Linked DNA regions of Xenopus tropicalis. The protein of the gene in region 1 purifies or fractionates together with the protein of each later gene. This does not show direct contact. Links are inferred from orthologs where the notes say so. Each region holds a gene or a part of one and is shown on either strand. Other genes may lie near its edges.

Region 1 (9,935 bases):
GGTCCCCACCCAGAAGGACTACATCCTGTCAATGTGATACATTCCTTTGGCCCTTGGGCCACATAATCGGATCAATATGATATTGCCCACCTCATGGTGGCCGTATCAAGTGAAAGATCCTCTCATTTGGCAACCTCACCAACCAAGCAGATCTTTCATTGCATGTCCACCTTAAGGCTCCTTGTCTGAGAGTGGCTTTTCTGAAGATGAGTAAGAGCATCAAGTACATGAATGATCCCTGGCAGGACCCAATAATTAGCAAGTAGGGAACTTATAAAGCTGAGCTGGGAGAGAGTGGGGCAACCCTTGAAACAAAAGCGAGAGATTAGCTGAGCTGAAACTCCCAATTTAGCATGTTAAAAGTATTAATACTTGTTTAAAAAAAAAAAATTAGCGTAAAATGCTGTTTAGAAGAGCACTCTCAGCAAGTTTACACCCACTTTAATTTGTCTCCAGTTTTCTAAAGAGATACAGGGCTCTGAGATAGACAGGATGCTGATTTAAGTAAAATGGAGCTCTGGCTCCTAGGTACACACCCCTAAGGTATGACATGTAAGTTCACATTACCAAATGTCCTTCTTACCTGACCCAAGAATGCAACTGCATTTAAATGAGGTAACTATTTTTATTTCTTTAAAATGTTATACCTCATAGGTGTCATCCCAAATATGGAATAAAAATAACAGTTCTCTACTGCTGCTTTCAATTATGAAAACATCTGAAAATAAATATAACAGCAGTCAAACACTGCATTTCATAGAACAGAGCAGTTCCTTCACTATCAGCCATGTATCCTTGTTGTGACTGACCACTCTTCTGGTTAGATTTTGGTCCAACAGGCCAGCCTCCTTTCACTAAAAATCCAGCCAGTCTGTCATATAAATGCAGTTTGATGGGGAAATTTCACCTCCTTCATGACAGTCGTCAAATACCTAGCAAGAACATGTTGCAAAACACTTTATTTAGGTTTCTAAACAGAAAGAAGATCTGATAACAACTGGTAATCTTTAGTGCAACAGTGACCCATTCCTGGAAGCTATTCTGTCTTCTCCTTGCTATTTAGCAAGTCTACAAAAACTTTCAAATATTTATAGAAAACTATACTGAAATTAGGAACAATAGTTCCTAGCTTACTATGATAACTACTGTAACAGTATATGAATGCTATTGTAAGTAGCTGATTAAATGGATAGGTATTTCCATGGTTAGTTTAACATTTATAGCAATGGAACATGCTGAATATACTTGGAAAACAGCAGGCCTCCCATATACTGTGCTGGGAAACTAGGCAGGATAAAGCCACACTGCAGGTCAGATTTCCTAGTAACACTATCAAAGACTAAGCAAATTTTTAAGAAACAATGATAACTTGGGGTTTCTTACCGGACACAGGCCGCACGGGGTTCTCACTAAACCTGCAGGTTGTGTGATAGGGTTCACTCCCCTATACAGTTTCATTTGTCCATCAACACTACCCACAGTCCCCTCCTTAGCAGCGATTATGGTCATCTCTACTTTCCCATCATATATTAAAGTATTCAGGATGGTTTCAATATCTTCCATAGACAATTCCACCTTTAAAAAACAAATAGGTTTTTAGGGAGTTATTTATTAAATACATGAATGTGTAGGGATAGAACCTTCCCTACCCTAGAATCATATAAGTAACTCAAATGTCCAGCTCTCTCCTGTTAATTACTGTTAAATAACAGTAAGGATGCAGGATTACTTGCACCTCACCACAGTGAATTTGAACAAGTGGGACATTTTTTTTTAATTAAAGAGATGCAAATGTATTATTTGCGTTACAGTTGAATATGCAAATTAGGGTTTGAATCTGGTTTATATTTCAATATTTATATGGAGGATTCGGTATTCAGCTTAACCCCTAAAAAGTACACCCCAAAGAATAGATTTCTACTTTATATATGTGCCCTACTGTGGTTGTTAGTTATTAGGGACCATAGATATTCATGCACCCTAAGATCTGTTTCTGTTTACATTTTGCAAGGATTCTGAGCGGTAATTCTACTAAGGGATCATGGCAAACTGGAAAATGGCATACTATCTACTGTATAGTGCAGAGTGCACATTCTGGGGGATAACCTCTCCCAAGATGCTGTACATCCTGCACCATGTGTCTTAGATGATAGGCTGTGTGTCGATATATGCAGATATATGTAAGAAATACAGACAGCAGTGGCTGATAGACAAGCACAGACGAGCTGCTGATGTTTTTGTTGTACAGTAACACCAAAATATGAAAGCGTTTTAAAGTAATTGAAATATAACGTACTGTGGCCCTGCACTGGTAAAACTGGGGTGATTGCTTCAGGAACACTACTATAGTTTATATAAATAAGCTGCTGTGTAGCCATGGGGGCAGCCATTCAAGCTGGAAAAAAGGAGAAAAGGCACAGGTTACATAGCAGATAACAGATAAGACACCATTGTATTCTACAGGGTTTATCTGTTAGCTGCTATATAACCTGTGCCTTTTCTTCTTTTAAATGGCTGCCCCCATGGCTACACACCAGGATTCATATAAACTCTAGTAATGTTTCTGAAGCAAACACAAAACTTTTACCAGTGCAGGGCAGCAGTACATTATAGTTTAATTTCTTTGAAATCTATACATTTTTTGGTGTTACTGTTCCTTTAATAGTGGTCAGTGAATTGTATAAAAAGGAGAGCTCAGTGGGCCTCCCACACCAAACACAGTTTTCTTTTACTTTAAAATGGCATTTGGGATACAACATATTTTACACCATTGAACATTTCAGTGCTCATGTTACACACTACTAATGCATGTGTCATATATAAAGAGAAGGTCCAGCTCACCTTGCTAATCCCCAGTTCACAGATGTATTTCCAGACTTCATGGGATGAGGCAAATGAGCTGTTCCTCTGTATCATGGGGTTTTGTTTACTGTCCCTTGCTGCTTCAGCCTGTTTAGGTTAAAGCACACCAAACAAGTACCATTACAGTATGTATGTGTTGAGTACATATCAGAAACAAGGTATCATATGCATATATTATTTATTCAGGATTCATGGAGAGGTATTTCCCATCCCTGGAAACATACAGTTAAATTTAATACAGTTAAATTCAGTATTTTTTTTAACCTTTTTCTCAAGAGACAAAGATTAGAAAGTGGTTTTGCAACCTAAAAATTGGTTTTGAATTGCAATTTGTTTTAATAAAATTTTCTATTAAAAATAATTTATAAAAATTATAATATGGGATTCAACCAGTATGGGGCCCATTTTAACTTAATAACATAACAAGTATTTTGACACTCTTCAGTTAAATTGTATATTAGGACAAGGCTACTAATGGCATTTAAACACAGCAGCAGTGATTATAATGCTCAAAACTCTATACTTCTATGCCATGCTTTATTCATGTAGGTGCTGTTACAGAAGTGATTTTATTGTAACAGGATAATAGTTTCTCAGGTCAATAACATTTGTGGTGGTTTGCCTTTTTTTTATTAAAGGTAAATTTTTATTGATTTTACAACATCACAAAACAATAAAATACAAAACAGTGTTTAATATACTGACATTGGAATGGTGTCAAGTTGAGTTTAGGTCAGTACAAGCAAGAATACTATTGCTAGGCATTGCAGTTGTCACTATGTAGGTGGCAGTGTTTAGTTCTGTCGGGTCAGTCACACTTAATATAAGGGGGTGAGCTATGTGTCCAGGTTATCTTGGTTGCACCAGTTTCCCCAGATCTTATCAAACTTAATATATGTACCCCTTGTTTAGTAACTTAATTTAATGAGGGGAAGAGCATCTCCTATCCCAAAACGGTGGTTTGCCTTTAAGTTAATATGAATGTCGTATTCCTAGAAACTTTGCAATTAGTCTTTTTTTATTTAATTATAGTTTTTGAATTATTTGCCTTCCTCTTCTGCATCTTTCAAATGGTGGGTCACTGACCCTGGCAGCCAAAAACCTATTGCTCTGTGAGCTTGCAATTTTATTATTATTGTTACTTTTATTCGTTATCTTTCTATTCAGTCCCTCGCCTATTCATATTCCAGTCTCTCATTCAAATCACTGCCTGGTTGCCAAGGTAAACAAAACCCTAGCAACCAGATAGCTGCTGAAATTCCAAACTGGAGAACTGCTGATCACTTACGCGATCCAGAACAATAAATCTTGCAAGTCTATTTGCATTTATGCACACGAATAGCAGCTGTCCTATTGCTTTTCCTGACCAAGGCATTTTACATAGGCTGCATTAATAATCATTGTCATTTGGGCCCTCACACTTCACTTTTTGGGAAAATAAAAGAGCAAAATAAATACACTTTTGAATACTATCACAAATCTTGATGGCTGAACTGTTTACCTTGGTTTGTAGAAATTTAAAACATTGTTGATTTAACACCTCCACAAACTCAGATTCGAAATCCTGGTCACTGTACCAAGCTCCTCCTGTCACAGAGCGATCTGGCTGCAGATTGTACAACATGTAAACTTTCTTCTTTGAAGCCTATGATGGAGAAGCACACGTGCTAGGTTACTTAAGGGGACCATGATGAACGACAAGATGTTGCTAAAGAGGTGCAATCATTTTACAAATCACTATTTGCCTTGATAGGGTAGAAATATGTGTACATTGTATTTTAAAGAAGCAGCAAAATAAGAGACTGGTTTTAGATTGTAAGCTCTCCTGAAAAGGGACAACTTTACCTCCTGTTTCGACCAGTTTTGTATAGTGCTTTATGAATAGGTATTAATACAATCATAATAGTTGCAGCTTTAGAATAAAAACAAGATAAATGCAAACAAAGTTCATTGGTTTTGCTCTAAAATGGTAAATGTACAGCATGACTAGTAGTACGTAGAATAACAATTGTAGTCACTGAGCACAATGCAGTATTGCTTGCTGTTATTAAAAGGACATGCTGGAATTACACAAATACAGTGTAGTTTCTGCTCTGAGAACGTTGGCCAAACTCTCTCTCTTGCCCAGTGTCATCCTAGGTTTGTGCTACAATAGGAAAGCAGTGGGGAAATTTAGACAAGTCAGAGTGGATATTTGTTTACATGGTCTGCTTTGACTAAGCTTAGTACATATACTTGTCCGCACAGGAAGGCAAGGCACTGTCTTCCCAAGCTAACATGCACAAACACTGACTTAAGGCAAAGCAGCTTGCGCGATCTGAAATCTCCACTATTACTTTTGATCACTCATGCTGCTTTGCCAAACATTATCAAGGAAAGGCAGAGGGTGTATAGAGATCCCAATCACTGTAACACCAATTACTTAACAGTTTGGCAGCATATCAGAGTTCCAAAAAAAAAAAATCTATAACAATAATAGTAGAGTAGCAGGATGTAATGGTATTGGAATTTCAGAAACTCAAGATTATTTTGCAGGGCCTTGCTGTTGTCTCTGGGTATGTAACACCACTTCTACTTATAAATAAAAGGAGTTGTTAGAGAAAGAGGTCCTGCCATAAATTAAACAGTAGTCTCAGTGAAGGACCAGTATAGCAGCTGTATAATAGTGCAACCTGTGACACTGTGCAACATAAAACATGAACAAAACATGTTCATTATTTTTATAAATAGTATCTTATTTACAAAATAACACCCACACAAAAGGTCATAACAGTAACCCTTTAAAGTAACACTAAATAATGTAAGTATATCAAATTAATTAAATATAATGTACTGCTGCCTGACACTTATTAAAGGTTTTGCTTCAGAAACACTACTATAGTTTATATAAACAAAGCTGCTGTGTAGTCATAGCAGGTAGCTACTGAAATGGGGCTAAATATCTAATAACACCATTGTATTCTACAGAGCTTATATGGTATCTGCTATGTCTGCCTTTTATCCTTTTTTCCAACTTGAATGGCTGCCCCTATGGCTACACAACAGCTTATTTAATTAAACTATAGTAGTCTTTCTGAAGAACACATACAACATCTTCCAGTGATGATGAACAGTACATTATATTAATTTCTTTTTTTTGTGTTACTGTTCCTTTAATCCTGCAACAGTTCTGATTGTTATATCCCCCGTCCCATTTACATATGAAATATATAAATGTTAAGAAAACCACACAAACTTACAGCTACAGATTTCACAGCTTTAATAAGTTTCTTGCTCTCTAGGTTTTTCAAAATTTTGTTGATTTCAGTCAGTGGCAAATTGCTTTTGTACCTTATATCTCGGCTCCATATACCTGAATAAAACAAAGAGTTTTTTCTGTGATTTCTTTATATAGATGCACTCTCTTATATGCAGCACTTTAAACTATTTTGATAGAATAACAGCAAAAAATCTCTGATGTAGAATTTGAAATAAAGTCCATTTAAGCTTCAAGAAGAAATGTGGCCAATTTACATTTTCTTTTTGTAAGCACCAAGTAACATCCTTGCCATAATATTTCTACATACAGCTATTGTCATTAATCATGGATCTATCTCCTAACAACAGATAAAGAAATGTGAATAAGCACAACCTATTACATTTATAGAGCATACCTTTGTTATCAGCATCCTCAATTATCTGATACACTAACTTCTCCTGATTGTCTGAACCCTTCATTTTACTGCAAAACAGAGAAAAAGAAAATGCATATTTGTGTACCAGTCTTTAATTCCCCACATATAATTCAATGTATATATAATATATCAATATATATATTTATATTTATTATTATTAAATAATCTCACCCAGCAGTTTGTGGATCCTTCAACCTGTACAGCAGTCCTGCACCACTTCGTAACAGATCCAGCTGACCCTGAAAATGAAAGAAGGGAATAAAGTCAGTGGATCCACAGAGCAATTTACATGCATCAGCAATAGCTCTTTTTCTCTAGGTTGCTGAAGATGTAGAGGATGCTGGGGGGGGGGAGCTAGGGGATGCTGGGGGGGGAGCTAGAGAATGCTGGGGGGAGCTAGAGAATGCTGGGGGAGCTAGAGAATGCTGGGGGGAGCTAGAGAATGCTGGGGGGAGCTAGAGAATGCTGGGGGGAGCTAGAGAATGCTGGGGGGGAGCTGGAGCATGCTGGGGGGGAGCTGGAGCATGCTGGGGGGGAGCTGGAGGATGCTGGTGGGGGGAGCTGGAGGATGCTGGTGGGGGGAGCTGGAGGATGCTGGTGGGGGGAGCTGGAGGATGCTGGTGGGGGGAGCTGGAGGATGCTGGTGGGGGAGCTGGAGGATGCTGGTGGGGGGAGCTGGAGAATGCTGGTGGGGGGAGCTGGAGAATGCTGGTGGGGGGAGCTGGAGAATGCTGGGGGGGGAGCTGGAGAATGCTGGGGGGGGAGCTGGAGAATGCTGGGGTGGGCAGCTGCAGGATGCTGGGGAGTGTATGGGGATGCTGGGGAGTGTATTCCATACTTGATTATCAATAGGTATCAAAAGATATTTGTGCTGTTTCCATACAGGCAACGAGCAATCTTGTTGGTAAAAATTGTTGATAAAAAGAATATCCTAGAACTGCTCTCTGGTATTACATGTTCTGGCCTAAAGTCATTCTACTGAAATGGATTGTAAAAATGTTCAAACTTTTTAATGTTTAACCCTATATGGCATTTGTCACAGTAAAGAAGCCTTTGATTTATCTATTCTGCAGTGTATAACTATTGGGAACATACAGAGGGGCAACATCAAATATTTATGACATGCAAGGGGCTAAATTCAAAATGATAATGCAAGTAATATTAGGCAATAATAAAGTTAAAACGTTGTCACTACTGCCATTATTGTTTTTGTAGTTTTGGTGATTTACTTCTGTATTTCCTAGCTTGCAAAATGAACTGCCCCTCAGTATCTCAATCTAAACAAGGGGCCATATAGCCATAGTTTTAACATACATTATGTAAGACAAAAAGAAAACAAATATAAAAGAACTTACAGTTGCCAGCAGTCGGTTGATGCACATGGCCCTTTGTTTGGCTTCAATGTGAGGCATCTCATTTTGAATAACTTGGTCAGTGATACCATGAGGAAACTGCTGGCACAGCTCAATAACCCTAAATATATAGAAAAAAATACCATTAAAGAACTAGAAAAAGCTTAAGTGTAACTGTGTTAAGTGTTTATGAGACTGTTGACTTTCTCTAACATTTTATTTGTAATAATTTTGGCCCCTGATGTTAGTGGAAGGAATGCACAACACATGCAGAATATTTAGATCATGTCCAGTATGAAAGAACTGCTACCCCTTATGTGAGCCAACAACTGCAAGAAACAAACGGCTGGAACGGAGTATTATGTGACTAAAAATCACACTAACAACAAAGAGGATGTTTAAAGAACCGAAGCCATTGCTGCTTTTTTTTTTTTTGGACAGCTGTAATAACAGCCACCCTCCATTGGTAGACAGATGTTGGATGTTTTTTGGTACTACATGCTGTACTACATACACCAGAGGCAGTCTACAGGTCCGGACTAAGATTCAAAAGAGGAATTTCATGTACAAAGGCCCAAACAGCCCCCCACAGGTGCAATACATAGTGACGTTCTATGGCATCTTGCAGCAGCCACTCTGGCATTGGCCAGAATCCATAGACTGTCAGACCGGGCCTGGCATAAACACACTTGTTTTTTTTTTAATTCGGTGTAACTTTATCATAACCACATATTTTTATTGTCCCTTTTTACTATAAGACAGTCCTTAAAAGTTTCCTTTAAGGGGCAGTATATTTCTTTTTACCATGAGCTAAACAATAAATATAGTTTTTCCAAGTAATGTATGGCTTTTAGTTATTTCTTGCACTAAACAAAGACACTGACAGCTTAAATTTTCTAGTTTCCTGGTTCTGCCAAATCATCATTTGTGGTAAAACAAATCAACAGTATACAGATAAGCACTGGCTGCTCCTAATCACAAAGTCTAACAAAGGCTACATCTTAGGAGAGAGTGGATTTGCTTTATACACAGCTCATTATTCTCATTTAAACAATAGTGGGGAAAAACAAAACACTTTTATTTTAGTGCTTTATAACTACAAAACATTTGATAAATGTTAAAAATATGGATTTTTAAACTAAAATAAAAAAAGATTACATTCTCAACACAAGACTTATTTAGTATGCTGATGTTTAGCAAAAGTGTCTATAGGCATACACTGGCCTCTACAGTTTTAGGTTTCCTGCAGATAAAAACCCCACATCTTTTAGCAAATGTGTTCATGTCTCATCAGTCAGCCACAGTGTAGGTGTAGTCATGTCCTTTAGATAAGGTATAGCTGAGATTGCCATGAAGCTTTTCAAAATACTAGTAGGGTTCTAATGCCTGGTCTGGGACCACAGCTCTGAAGAAAGGCTGGATATAACCTGGGACAGACATTGAGCAAGTCAATGCGTGACAGCAAGTGACACAACTAATAAATAACTTTAGTTTTCTGCTATAACTGTAAGCATATGCTGCCAATATGATTATATTGATCAATGTGTCTTTCTAATGCAAGGGACTTTCATTTAAACCTTATGTAATTGAAAAAAGTAAACCAACATAGCCAAAACGCCAAAGACATACTCCGCTTTGCACCGCTTACCTGTTCTCTATCTCCGCTGCCTCCCCACCTTCTTGCTTCACCTTCGCTTCTGACATGTTTATTTGAGTCCCTATCCTTTGCCCACGTGTCCCCCTTAACGACTGTCGCCCCAACACCCCCAGTTCAGGTAGCACTAGCGCTGCAGCTCGATCAGCAGAAAGTATCGGCAGCCATTTTGCTTTCGGGCAAAAGGGAGCGTTTGGAACGGAACAACTTCCGAGCGGACAATATATTTTCAAATCAAAGGTACTACGTCTTTTAACTAAAGGACTTCGCGATTTACGTTGTCGCTAACCAAACATTTTCACGCTTTACAATTTCCAAATACAGCAAGTCGTCTGTGTAGCATTTGCTGCGGAAATACGTCATGCATAGGAGCATGCGCTTTGAGAGTGTGAA
Region 2 (10,723 bases), on another chromosome or scaffold:
CCCATGTAACTGGAGGAGTCCCAAGCCGGACTTGGATTTCTTACTATTGAGTGCTATTCTGATACCTACTAGGGGGCTGCTATCTTGCTCCCTTCCCATTATTCTGCTGATCGGCTGCTGGGAGGGGGGGGATATCACTCCAACTTGCAGCGCAGCAGTAAAGTGTGACTGAAGTTTATCAGAGCACAGGTCACATGGCTGAAGGCACCTGGGAAAAGAAGAATATGGCTAGCCCCATGTGAAATTTCAAAATAAAATTTCATTTTATGAAAAAAAAAATTTTCAAGTATTCCTTTAAGGTGAACGCTGCCCCGCAGATTGTACCAAGAGAACAGTGTGCTTCTAACCTGTGCCAAGTCTTTAATATGAACTCTGCACTGCTGATCTGTGACCTGCTCAAGCAGGGCTCTGTACAGTTAATTTAGGGACACCACTGGGGGCGCTGTACCACTGGACTATTTGACAGAAGTGGGCTGTACACCTTATTGATTGCAACTGGTTCTTGCTTTTTTTTGTCCCCCCCTAGCCATTCTACCCTGTTTGAACCCCTAAAACAGTGATCCCCAACCAGTGGCTCAGGGGTAACATGTTGCTCCCCAACCCCTTGGATGTTGCTCTCAGTGCCCCCAAACCAGGTAGTTATTTTTGAATTCCTGACTTGGGGGCAAGTTTTGGTTGAATAAAAACAAGATTTACTACCAAATAAAGCCCCTGTAAGCTGATAGGGTGCATAGAGGCTGCCTAATAGCCAATCACAGCCCTTATTTGGCTCCTCCATTAACTTTTATGTTTGTGTTGCTCTCCAAGTCTTTTAACATTTGACTGTGGCTCAAACCTCAAAGAAAGGTTGGGGATCCCTGCCATAAAATAAAGTGTGGAGTGTCGCTGATCTGTGTCAGTTTCCAACATGTAAGATTAGAGGGGGTGATAGAGGCCTCCCTCACAGAGAACATCATAGTGCCGCAGTTAAAAAAAGAGCCTAAAAAACCTATTTTTGGGTCATTTTTACTAATCGTCTTCACCTAAAATAGCCCTTTTTGTCCATGAACTGTGAAAAACCTGCCCCTGGGAGGCTCCCACACCATTAGCCCTTTTAGTGCCATAGGACGTAGATTCTACGTCCTGGGTAGCAAAGGACCAAAGTGCCACAGGACGTAGAATCTACGTCCTACAGCACTATCAGGTTTACAAGCGCTGCGCTGGCTTTTAAAGCAGCGCAGCGCTTGTAAACCCTTCACAACCCCCTAGGCAACGAGCAAAGACAGTCATACTCACCGATCCGGTCCCCCGATCGCGTCGCCAGCCAATGACAGCAGTGGACACGCGATGATGACGTGTCCACTGCTGTCCCTTTAAATAGCGCCGCCTACTGTCGGCTCCTCATTCCTGCTGCGCACTTCGGACCTGATGGAGCTCCCCTGCTGCCTTCCTGCCAGATTGGTCGCCCCTGATCGCCTGCCTGCCTTGGGTAAGCTGAACTACAACTCTCTACCACTGTTTATTTTGCTTATTTCTATCTCAACTGTCTAAAATTTTTTTTTTTTTTCAATTTTTTCTTCTATCTTTGTCATTATTACACTTTTGCACACATACACACTTATTTACAACTTTCCCAAGCACACACAGACACTTACACACACACTTACACTTTTTTTTTTTTTTCTATCTTTCTTTTCTCTTCTTTCTTTCTTTGCTTTCTTTGGCAGTCTTTTTTTTTTTACTAAAACTTTATTTCTGATCTTGCTCTATAATTATCTGATTTATTTGGTTGCATTTTAGTGTTTTTTTGGCATTTTCATAATTGATTTGTTTTTTTATTATTGTATTGTATTGTAACTTTTTTTATTGCTATTGGGTGCTGAATTTGCAGTGACGTTGGTGGATCCAGGGCTCTGACCACCAATTTCATTGCAATTATTGTTCTTCTGTTGGTTTAGGTGGTTTTATTGGATTTTACTGATTTTATGGTGTTTTATCTTTGCATTGTTCTTTATTGTGTGTTTAGTGCCCCAAAAAGGTTGCTTTTGCAGTGACATTGGTGGATCCAGGGCTCTGACCACCGATTTCATCAGGGCTTTTACAAACGACAAAAAAAATTGTGCAAAATTAACTTTTCTATGGAAAAAAACCTCAAAATATACAGAAATTTTTCATAATTTTTTTTTTTTTTTTACATATTTCACCCAAAATACACATCATATCTCCAGAAAAGTTATAAAATTTGGTATGTATGTCGAAGCCCAATTAGTGACGAAAAAAACGATATATAATTTCCCTAGTTTCATGGAGGTTTTCCTACCAAAAAACATTGTTAAAGTGAATGAGTACAAAATGCTTAAAAAACGTCTGGCACTGGGGGGAACCGAAATGACGAATTCGGCTGGCACTTAAAGGGTTAAAATAACCCAAAAACTAAAGCTTATTGTTAATATGTATTTCACCTATTATCTTCTCGTATATCAGACCATAATCTACTCCTACATTGTAAAATATATTGCTCTTAGGCTTAACATAAAACAACAAAAAGGAGCAGCTTGTTTTGGGGTAACAGGAACAGCCGCTTTATTGAAACCATTTGTGGGAAAACCCTGTCAGCACCTAGAACGTTCTACTCCAGAATCAACACCTTGAAGTTAGAACAAATTAACTGTAAATTGTTACTTTTGGGTAATTTCACCCATTGTCTACTTAAAGTGCCCCTGGCTTCCTTCCAAATTGTAAAAAAATATGGCTCATTTGCACTGAAACTCTTCTTTTAAGCCAAATTAATAGAAAAGTATGAATAAAATTCCTTTAAAAAAAAAAAAAAAAAAAAGCCCTTTTTATGTCAAATGTAGGAAAAGATTGACTATTGGACTAGTGCCTTTACCCCTCAAGTAAAAAAGTGACCAAGCCATTAATAGCAGTTAGCATAGGCTTAGTCTTGGCCAAACACTATGACCTAAAGCCCTGGGCAAGTAGGAAAGACTAGTAATCCCAACAGAAAGAATATTTTTTCCCTCGACAAAATAGCCTCATAACTAACACTTGTGAGTAGCCTCCTGTTATCCCAACCCCACTACTGCGCATTACTAACAGCTTGCACTTCTGCACAACTATCACACACATTCACACTGCTCGCCATTCTCGCAATGCCGCTATACGATGCCTCACCCCCTTATATAATGTTAAAGTGACGTCATAATCTCGCGAGATGAGACTTGCGACTTCCGAGAGCTAAAATACAAATGTCAAGGACGCAGCAGAATTTTAAAACCTTGATACGGGAATGCGGCCCGTGTTATAAAAATCGCGACTGCTGGCCGGTATGTTTGCATTTTCTTGCGCAATAAAGGTTTTCGCAGCGCCTTGTCACTATGGCAACTGCCAGTTCCCAATGACTTGTTCCGCCGTGCTTCACCCCGCCCCCAATCTCCTCAGTCATTGGCTGGTGGTACCACACGGCGGTAGCCTTGTGGGCGTGGCTATTGTGTACGTCATCACTATGCGCTATAAAAGTTGCATTCTGCGGGTGGGGAAGCGTGCAGTAAGACGAAAAATACCTATAATATCAATGTTATAAACATTTGTGTAGAAAATGATGATTTCGGCTTTGTTGCTGTAGCGCTACAACGAAGTAGTGTTCCCTCTAGTCTCTTTTCAAATTATATTTTGTCTGCACATTTGGCAAATTCTGTAGGCACAGAAGGAGAAGGGTTGCAATAAGAAAAAAAAAATCTTTGTGTATCGCACTTTGTTGCGTGCAATGGCATTTTTACCAGTCAGGTGGCAACCCTCATTGGGGCCCATGGCTTAGAGGGAACTCTATTTTATTTATAATTGCTGATTTGGCACAGATCAACCTGTAGAGCTGCTTTATTTCCTGTCAGCTGATCTCTGAGGGAGCACACAGCCCATCACTAAATGGCGGCTCAAGGGAAAGGATGTAAAAGGGAAATATGTACTGATATATATATTCCAGTTTGGGGAGATTCTTTAATAGGTCACTTAATATAATATAATCTGTCTATTGGTTAATTTTTCATTCTGGGGGTAAACTTACTTCCATGACTCCCATGTCAGGACTGGAGTTCCCACTAGACTTTAGATTGTTTACTATGTTTATGGCCTGTTCATTATTAAGCCATGTGTGGCCACAACACAGCATACATGCAGCACACACTGTGCAGAACATACAACTGCATTAAAGGAGAAGGAAAGGCTAATAAAGAGTTAATCTCAAGCTGCAGGCATACCGTCGGTTCTCTCAATAGTGCCCTTAAGTCTCCCTATATTTCTCCCGTTCAGATGATCAGAAGCCTCATAGGAAAAAAAAAAACTGAGATTTGTAATGCCTCGCTCCTGCACCAAGACCAGTGTACATGCTCAGTTAGTAAGACTATGAGGAAGCTTCCTGCTGATTGGCGCAGATCCTCATTCCTAAAGCTGGCCATACACGGGTGGCGATATCAGGGAGGCATGTAGGTGAATTCGATCATTTGGCCCTGGGGCCAAACGATCGAATTCTGCACGCGGCAATGGGGCAGTCGGTTCGGGGACTGCATCAACGAGCCGATGCGGTCCCCGATCCGACGGGATTTTCTAACCTGGCCGATCGTTATCTGGCCAATTTCAGGCCAGATATCGGTCGGCCATTCCGCTCGTTTCTGCCCCTACACGGGCCGATAAGCTGCCGAGTCGGTCCAAGGGACCGATATCGGCAGCTTCTATCGGCCGTGTATGGGGACCTTAAGGGGGAGGGAAGTGAGTTCTTAGCATTCTTGAGGGAGGAGGGAGCAGGAGAGAGCTGCGTGTCTGTAGCAGAGGAAAACAGACAAGAAATCCTGTGTTTCTTTTGATAGAGGACTCAGTGCAGCGTTTCTGTGAGTGCTTATGGCTGTATTTACATAGACCTTTCTGATATTAGTTTTTTACCTTTCCTTTTCCTTTAAAGGCCTTACTTAAAATTCAAGACTTAAAAATGAGGGCATGTACCCACATATTTTCCTACCCCTGGTTTATATGCTGCGTGCTGCTGTCATGTATATGGGGTAAACATCAAATGGCAACTGCTGTAACCAAGTTTTTTTATTCAGAGATGGGGGTAGGAATAGTATTTTCACTAATTAGCAACTTACACGAAGTCCTTTTATGTTTTTAGGCTCTTTGAGACCCGAAATTAAACATGTCGAAAGCACCAAACAGCTGACATGGGAAGAGGACAAGGATTCCCCACCTGGTAATGCAGTGCTGACCATGTAGGAAAGTGGCAGCTCTGAGGCACTTTTTTGTAAAGGTAATTGCACGCATATACACTGTTAGCTCATTATGCTGATACGGTGCTCTCCTATTCTGGAAGCATTGCTGTCTAATCTTTTAGATACAGACAGATGGTGCTTAAACATTGCATGGAGCACCTTTGTACAACATTCACAATTCTAACAGTTCACATTAAAAGAACAAGCTTTGCCATATACATAGTTAACAAATAATATGCAGGTGAAGTTATATTCACCTCAGAATCATCCTTCTGCTGATTCTTAACTTCTGCACAGACCCTGTGCTTTGGGAGGGGGTCAGTGACCCCTATAAACCCTACAGTCTTTTTTACTTTATTATATGATGTCATGGATAGTGCTTGCAGTGTACTTAACTCCTATTGGCTGTGTCTCCTGTCAGTCTGACACTGCTTCCTGTGCCTGTGATAGAGTGCTGCAAATCTATCATAACAGTATGTTATATTTATGATTTGCTAAGTCTATTTGCCTATGCCATTTAAAGTGATAAATTAACCAACTTTTCAATTTATGCAACTGGTTAGAGTTCAAAAGCAACCAGTTAATTGGTCCAAAAGTAAAGGCAAAGCCTGGACGTGATGATTTACGCATATAGGAAAGGGATCCCCAAGCTTTTTTTACTCATGAGCCACAGTCAAATGTAAAAAGACTTGAGGAGCAACACAAGCACCATAACAGTTCATGGAGGAGCCAAATAAGGGTTGTGATTGGCTATTAGGCAGCCTCTATGCACACTATCAGCTTACAGGGGCTTTATTTGGTAGTAAATTCTGTTTTATTCAACCAAAACTTGCCCCCAAGTCAGGAATTCAAAAATAACTCCCTGGTTTGGGGGCACTGGGAGCAACATCCAAGGGGTTTGGTGAGAAATATGTTGGCCCCGAGCCACTGGTTGGGGATCACTGATATAGGAAAGTTCTCAGTGTGTCAGGTTCTAAATAGGCCACTCCCATCCCTTCAGAAAACTGATCAGAGAGACAGAATGAGGACTGATTTAAAGGTATAAAAAGTAGCTTTTTCAGTGGCCTTTGTACTTTTTTTATGTAAAATGCTGCAAGCATTGTTGGTGGTTTACTAAAAATTAGACATTGAAGGCAAACAACCCCTTTAAAGGGAACGTTAGCCCAAGTGATACCTTATATTACCAAAAGTATCTGGACACCTACCTGTCCATTATTTAATGAATTTAAACAAAACAAAAAAAGAAGTGGTCCTGCTGCTCCAGGTCCTTAGCTCAGGGAAGCCGACAGGCTATCATAACAAAGTAAAAATAGATGATGAGCACTAAAAGTTAAACCCAGTGTTGGATGACCACAAGTATCTGGACATCTACCTGTCCACTGTCTCTGTTAATTAAAACAAAACAAAACAGAAGGGCACCAAAGCACAAATCTATGTAGAAGACATACCAATTCAAGAAAGCAGTCTGGGTGCTACTGACCTTTAGCTCAGGGAAGCAGAAAGACCATAACAAAGCAAAAATAGGTGATGGGTAATCCAATTTATCCACAAAGGGCACAAAATAGTAGTCAAAATCTCTGTTTATAACATTATCTCTACAACCTTACACATATTGTGCCCAAAAACACACTTAATCATAGTTCCACATTATTTTAATGAAACCAAAAGTATAGTCCATCTTACCTGAAGAAACACAGGTATTTGGCCAGTTGCAGCCAAGAAAAGCAGATGTGGCAATGGGTCGCTGCCTTGCTGGGTTCCTTTTCCTTACTTGCCACCTCCCCTTGCTCCTGGATGAGTTTACTTCTGAGTTTATGACGACCACATTTTTGGTCTGATGATAAAGCTTCCAGTTTTATAGTGAGAAGTGGGTCCAAGTGGGTAGAAATACAAGTCTGTGGGTTTGGTGGAATAGCCCTTTGAGATCTTTAGCCAAGGGTATTAATATGAATATGTTATCTGTTATACCAACCCATATTCTTCTGGGAAGCCTTTTTACTGGATGGTGGAACATTGTTGGATTGCTATACACTACATGAAGGAAGTCATGAGATATATACAAAAACAAAATATACAACAACATATACAAAATGTCAGGTGATGTTGATATCTCTTATACCCAGGCTAGGTTATTCTACTGTTTCTTGGGCATAGCACAAGATGGCTGGAAAAGGCAGAGGTAGCGGTCGGGGCCAACTGACCTTTAATGTAGAAGCTGTTGGAATTACCAGAGGGGAAGCACTGCCGCCACCCACTCTCCAACCTCCCCCGTTGTTCCCGGTAAGTTAAGCTCTATACAGCTTTGGTATTAAAGGAAAAGTAACACTAAAAATTTTTAAGTAAAAAAATCTATTCTACCCTGCTCCAATAATTGCCCTATCCTGCACACCGTTTATTATTTTGAATGCTTTATTAGAAAATACCTGCTAAAACCTGGCTTCCGGTCATTTGAAATAAGGCGATGCAGAAGCAGAATTGATCGATCACAGCCTGACTCCTTTGATCGATCCTTGCCTGACTCCTTCCTATACAGAAGGAAGGCTAGGATTGATCGTCGCGTAGTGGATTCTGCTTCTACATCGCCGTATCGCCTTATTTCAAATGACCGGAAGCCGGGTTTTAGCAGAAATTTTCTAATAAAGCATTCAAAATAATAAATGGTGTGCAGGATAGGGCAATTATTGGAGCAGGGTAGAATAGATTTTTTACTTACTTTCCTTTAAAGTGTACATGCTATGTATAGAAATGTACCAAAATAGGCATGAGTGGGGAACATATTGTAACTAAACCACAACTCCCCATATTTTTGACTGCTGATATGTGTTATTGGAGTCAGCAGACTGAATTTCAGCAAGAAGCAGTGAACTACAGGCTCCTGATCCATATCTTAGCATTTTAGTATCTGTTTTCCCTGTCTGCCCATTGTGCACTGCCTTCTATTGCTTTCTGACTTTTTGCCTGTTGGGTGGCAGGATCAGGGTCTGCATTTTTCATTACAGTGCCCAGTTGCCCACCCCTGTGCCTGCCATCCACCTGTTTGCTACTATGGGCCCTTTACAAGTGAGATACATGTGGCCTTCCCTAAGGTATAATGGCCTTTTAGTTATACTGTTATGTTTATAGAATATACATAGGCTTATTTTTCATTTGTCATGGGTTTAAATGCTACTTACCTGGATAGTATTAGGTCTTTATTCATTTTTTTGTACTAATAGGTTTTATTATTTTTTCCTTACTTTCCTAACTTTTTTCACTTGAAAGAAAACCCAGCCATGCTGTGTGTCAGTAGTGCATTGCATACTCATGCTGGAATCAGACTGGACTTTACCTGTCAGTGACTGACAGTAGGGTGTGTTGTTTACAGCTGGGAAACATGTTAGGTTGCGGAACTCAAAAGAAATTCATGCAGCAACTCTATGTACAACAGTTTTGTTAAACATTCCCTGCAGTTTCTTTTTAAAGGACAAGGAATGGTTAAATTACTGGGGGGGGGGGGGCACTCCCTTCAGTGATTATAATGACTTACCTGATACTCTGGGCCGGTGGTCCATTTAGTATAAAACTGCTCTGCCCTGGGGTACTCTGAGCAAGCACCACAGAACAATCCTCTTCTTTCACTTCTTCATTCCTCAATCACCCAGGGTGCATGTGTGCATGTGTGTGAAAAAGCAAACTTGGCTTTTCACTTTACTGAAGTGAAGAAGAAACAAGATGTAGATAATGCAGTGGTGCTAGGTCTGAAGTACCCCAGGCTGCTGCAGTTTTCTGCTAACAGGAGCACCAGCGTGGGGTATCAGGTAAGTAATTATAATTACTGGGGGGTGCCTAACATTTGGCACCCCCTCTGTGATTTCATCTTTTCTTCTCCATTAAGAGCTATACACTGTGTATATCATCCTACTCTCTTTGTTGTTTTGTTCAGAACCTGGAATACAAACCAGTACCCCTGCAGACAGGGGAGGAGGTGGAATATATGCTGGCGTTGAAACAAGAACTCCGAGGAGCCATGAAGACTCTCCCGTACTTCATCAAGCCCGCTGCTCCCAAGAAAGGTGTGTTTAGCTTGGCTCTATTTGGTTGCCCTAAAAAGCACTATATCATTTATTGTTGCAAGGGCAAGTAAAGCAATAGAATCATATGGGCGTGTGGTTTTTAATGCAAATGCCTGATTTTTTACCAGCCCCCCATGCAGTTTTACTTAATCTCCCCGGTCTACTTCTCATGCATGTCTGTGACTCCCCAGGCACACTACCCCCAGTTATGTTATGTGCATGCCCATGTCGTCTCGCTCACTCTGGGAACTTGCACCCTAGGTTGCTTCACTTCACAGTTGCTCCCCATTGGTTAAGGTGAGGAGTTGGCGTAAACTGGCAGCACTTGAAAGCTGAACATGCTATCCTTAAACATGTAGGAAAATAGAAGGGTAAACAAGAACATGGCTAGCAATACATTTACATTAACTAACAATACAGTAAAATACCTTTGGTTCAGCAGCCCTATAACTGCAATGATCCATGCTTTCGAATTTGTATACAGCAACCTCCCATTCTTGGGGTCTTGTTAGGCCATCTTTTGAGTGTCAGTGGCACTGCACATGCTCAGTGTGCTGTTGGATACTGTAAAGAAGGAAACCTCAGGGGTCGTTGGAAATTATGCTGCAAAAATAAGGTTACATTTGTCATAGCTGATGCTACATGGCTGAATGCAGTGCAGAATGCACAGGTTTTTATGACACGGTCACTTTATGGTAATTTAAAGCAAAAAGCACTGGTCACGTTATTCATTATAGATATTTATCAGTTATAACACACATAGATTGTGATACCCACCGGCACTTTATTTCAATTTCAGAATGAGTGTTGTGATTAAGTTTATCGTAATTATGATACAAAACTCAGGGATAGCTGAGTTTAGATTTTCCTTAAAACCACAAAAAGGGGGTTGTCTTTACTCTGTCACCCTCTGTGGTTACAGAAGTTTTTTAGCATATACAGTAGTAGAGCCCTTTTTCCTTCCCGGGTACTTAAAGGAGAAGAAAAGGCATTTTACTGCCAATAGATGTATGTATGTATATCTTTATTTATAAAGCGCTACTTATGTACGCAGCGCTGTACAGTAGAATACATTAATACAAACAGGGGGTTATTAAGATAATAATAGAAAAATACAAAGTATAACAATAAATACAAGATATAGTTTGCAATAAGTCAAAGACACAAGAGGATGGAGGTCCCTGCCCCGTAGAGCTTACAATCTATATGGGAGGGTAACTAACAGACACAAATAGGCAAATATAAGTGCTGTAGGTCACAGTGGGTGACACTACAATAAAAGTGCCAGTTCCCATATCAGGTGCTGTGCGAGTGCTAGTCACAATAGTGCAAGCTAGAACCATACCTGAGTAAACAGCCCTAGACCCTCCCTCTGTTTGTTTAAGATAGCAGCTGCCATTTTAGCTTGGTCTCAGTAGCTTCTGTGCTGCAGCT

Evidence for each region.
Region 2: the proteins of polr3f (region 1) and polr3gl purify together in Homo sapiens (co-immunoprecipitation; 5 studies listed by BioGRID and IntAct, counting the BioPlex papers as one, with this or other methods). This does not show direct contact. The link is inferred for Xenopus tropicalis from reciprocal best matches to the Homo sapiens genes POLR3F and POLR3GL.

What each region holds. Positions count from the first base shown.
Region 1 is NC_030681.2:38,388,836-38,398,770, reverse strand, and holds polr3f (DNA-directed RNA polymerase III subunit RPC6), read right to left. Parts: upstream 9,755-9,935; 5' UTR 9,593-9,754; coding exon 9,537-9,592; intron 8,010-9,536; coding exon 7,892-8,009; intron 6,776-7,891; coding exon 6,708-6,775; intron 6,584-6,707; coding exon 6,516-6,583; intron 6,215-6,515; coding exon 6,102-6,214; intron 4,508-6,101; coding exon 4,364-4,507; intron 2,950-4,363; coding exon 2,842-2,949; intron 1,576-2,841; coding exon 1,384-1,575; intron 933-1,383; coding exon 855-932; 3' UTR 612-854; downstream 1-611. UniProt on the Homo sapiens protein: DNA-dependent RNA polymerase catalyzes the transcription of DNA into RNA using the four ribonucleoside triphosphates as substrates.
Region 2 is NC_030684.2:128,426,220-128,436,942, forward strand, and holds the start of polr3gl (DNA-directed RNA polymerase III subunit RPC7-like), read left to right. Parts: upstream 1-3,497; 5' UTR 3,498-3,526; intron 3,527-5,140; 5' UTR 5,141-5,275; intron 5,276-7,360; 5' UTR 7,361-7,397; coding exon 7,398-7,517; intron 7,518-9,159; coding exon 9,160-9,289; intron 9,290-10,723. UniProt on the Homo sapiens protein: DNA-dependent RNA polymerase catalyzes the transcription of DNA into RNA using the four ribonucleoside triphosphates as substrates. Specific peripheric component of RNA polymerase III which synthesizes small RNAs, such as 5S rRNA and tRNAs.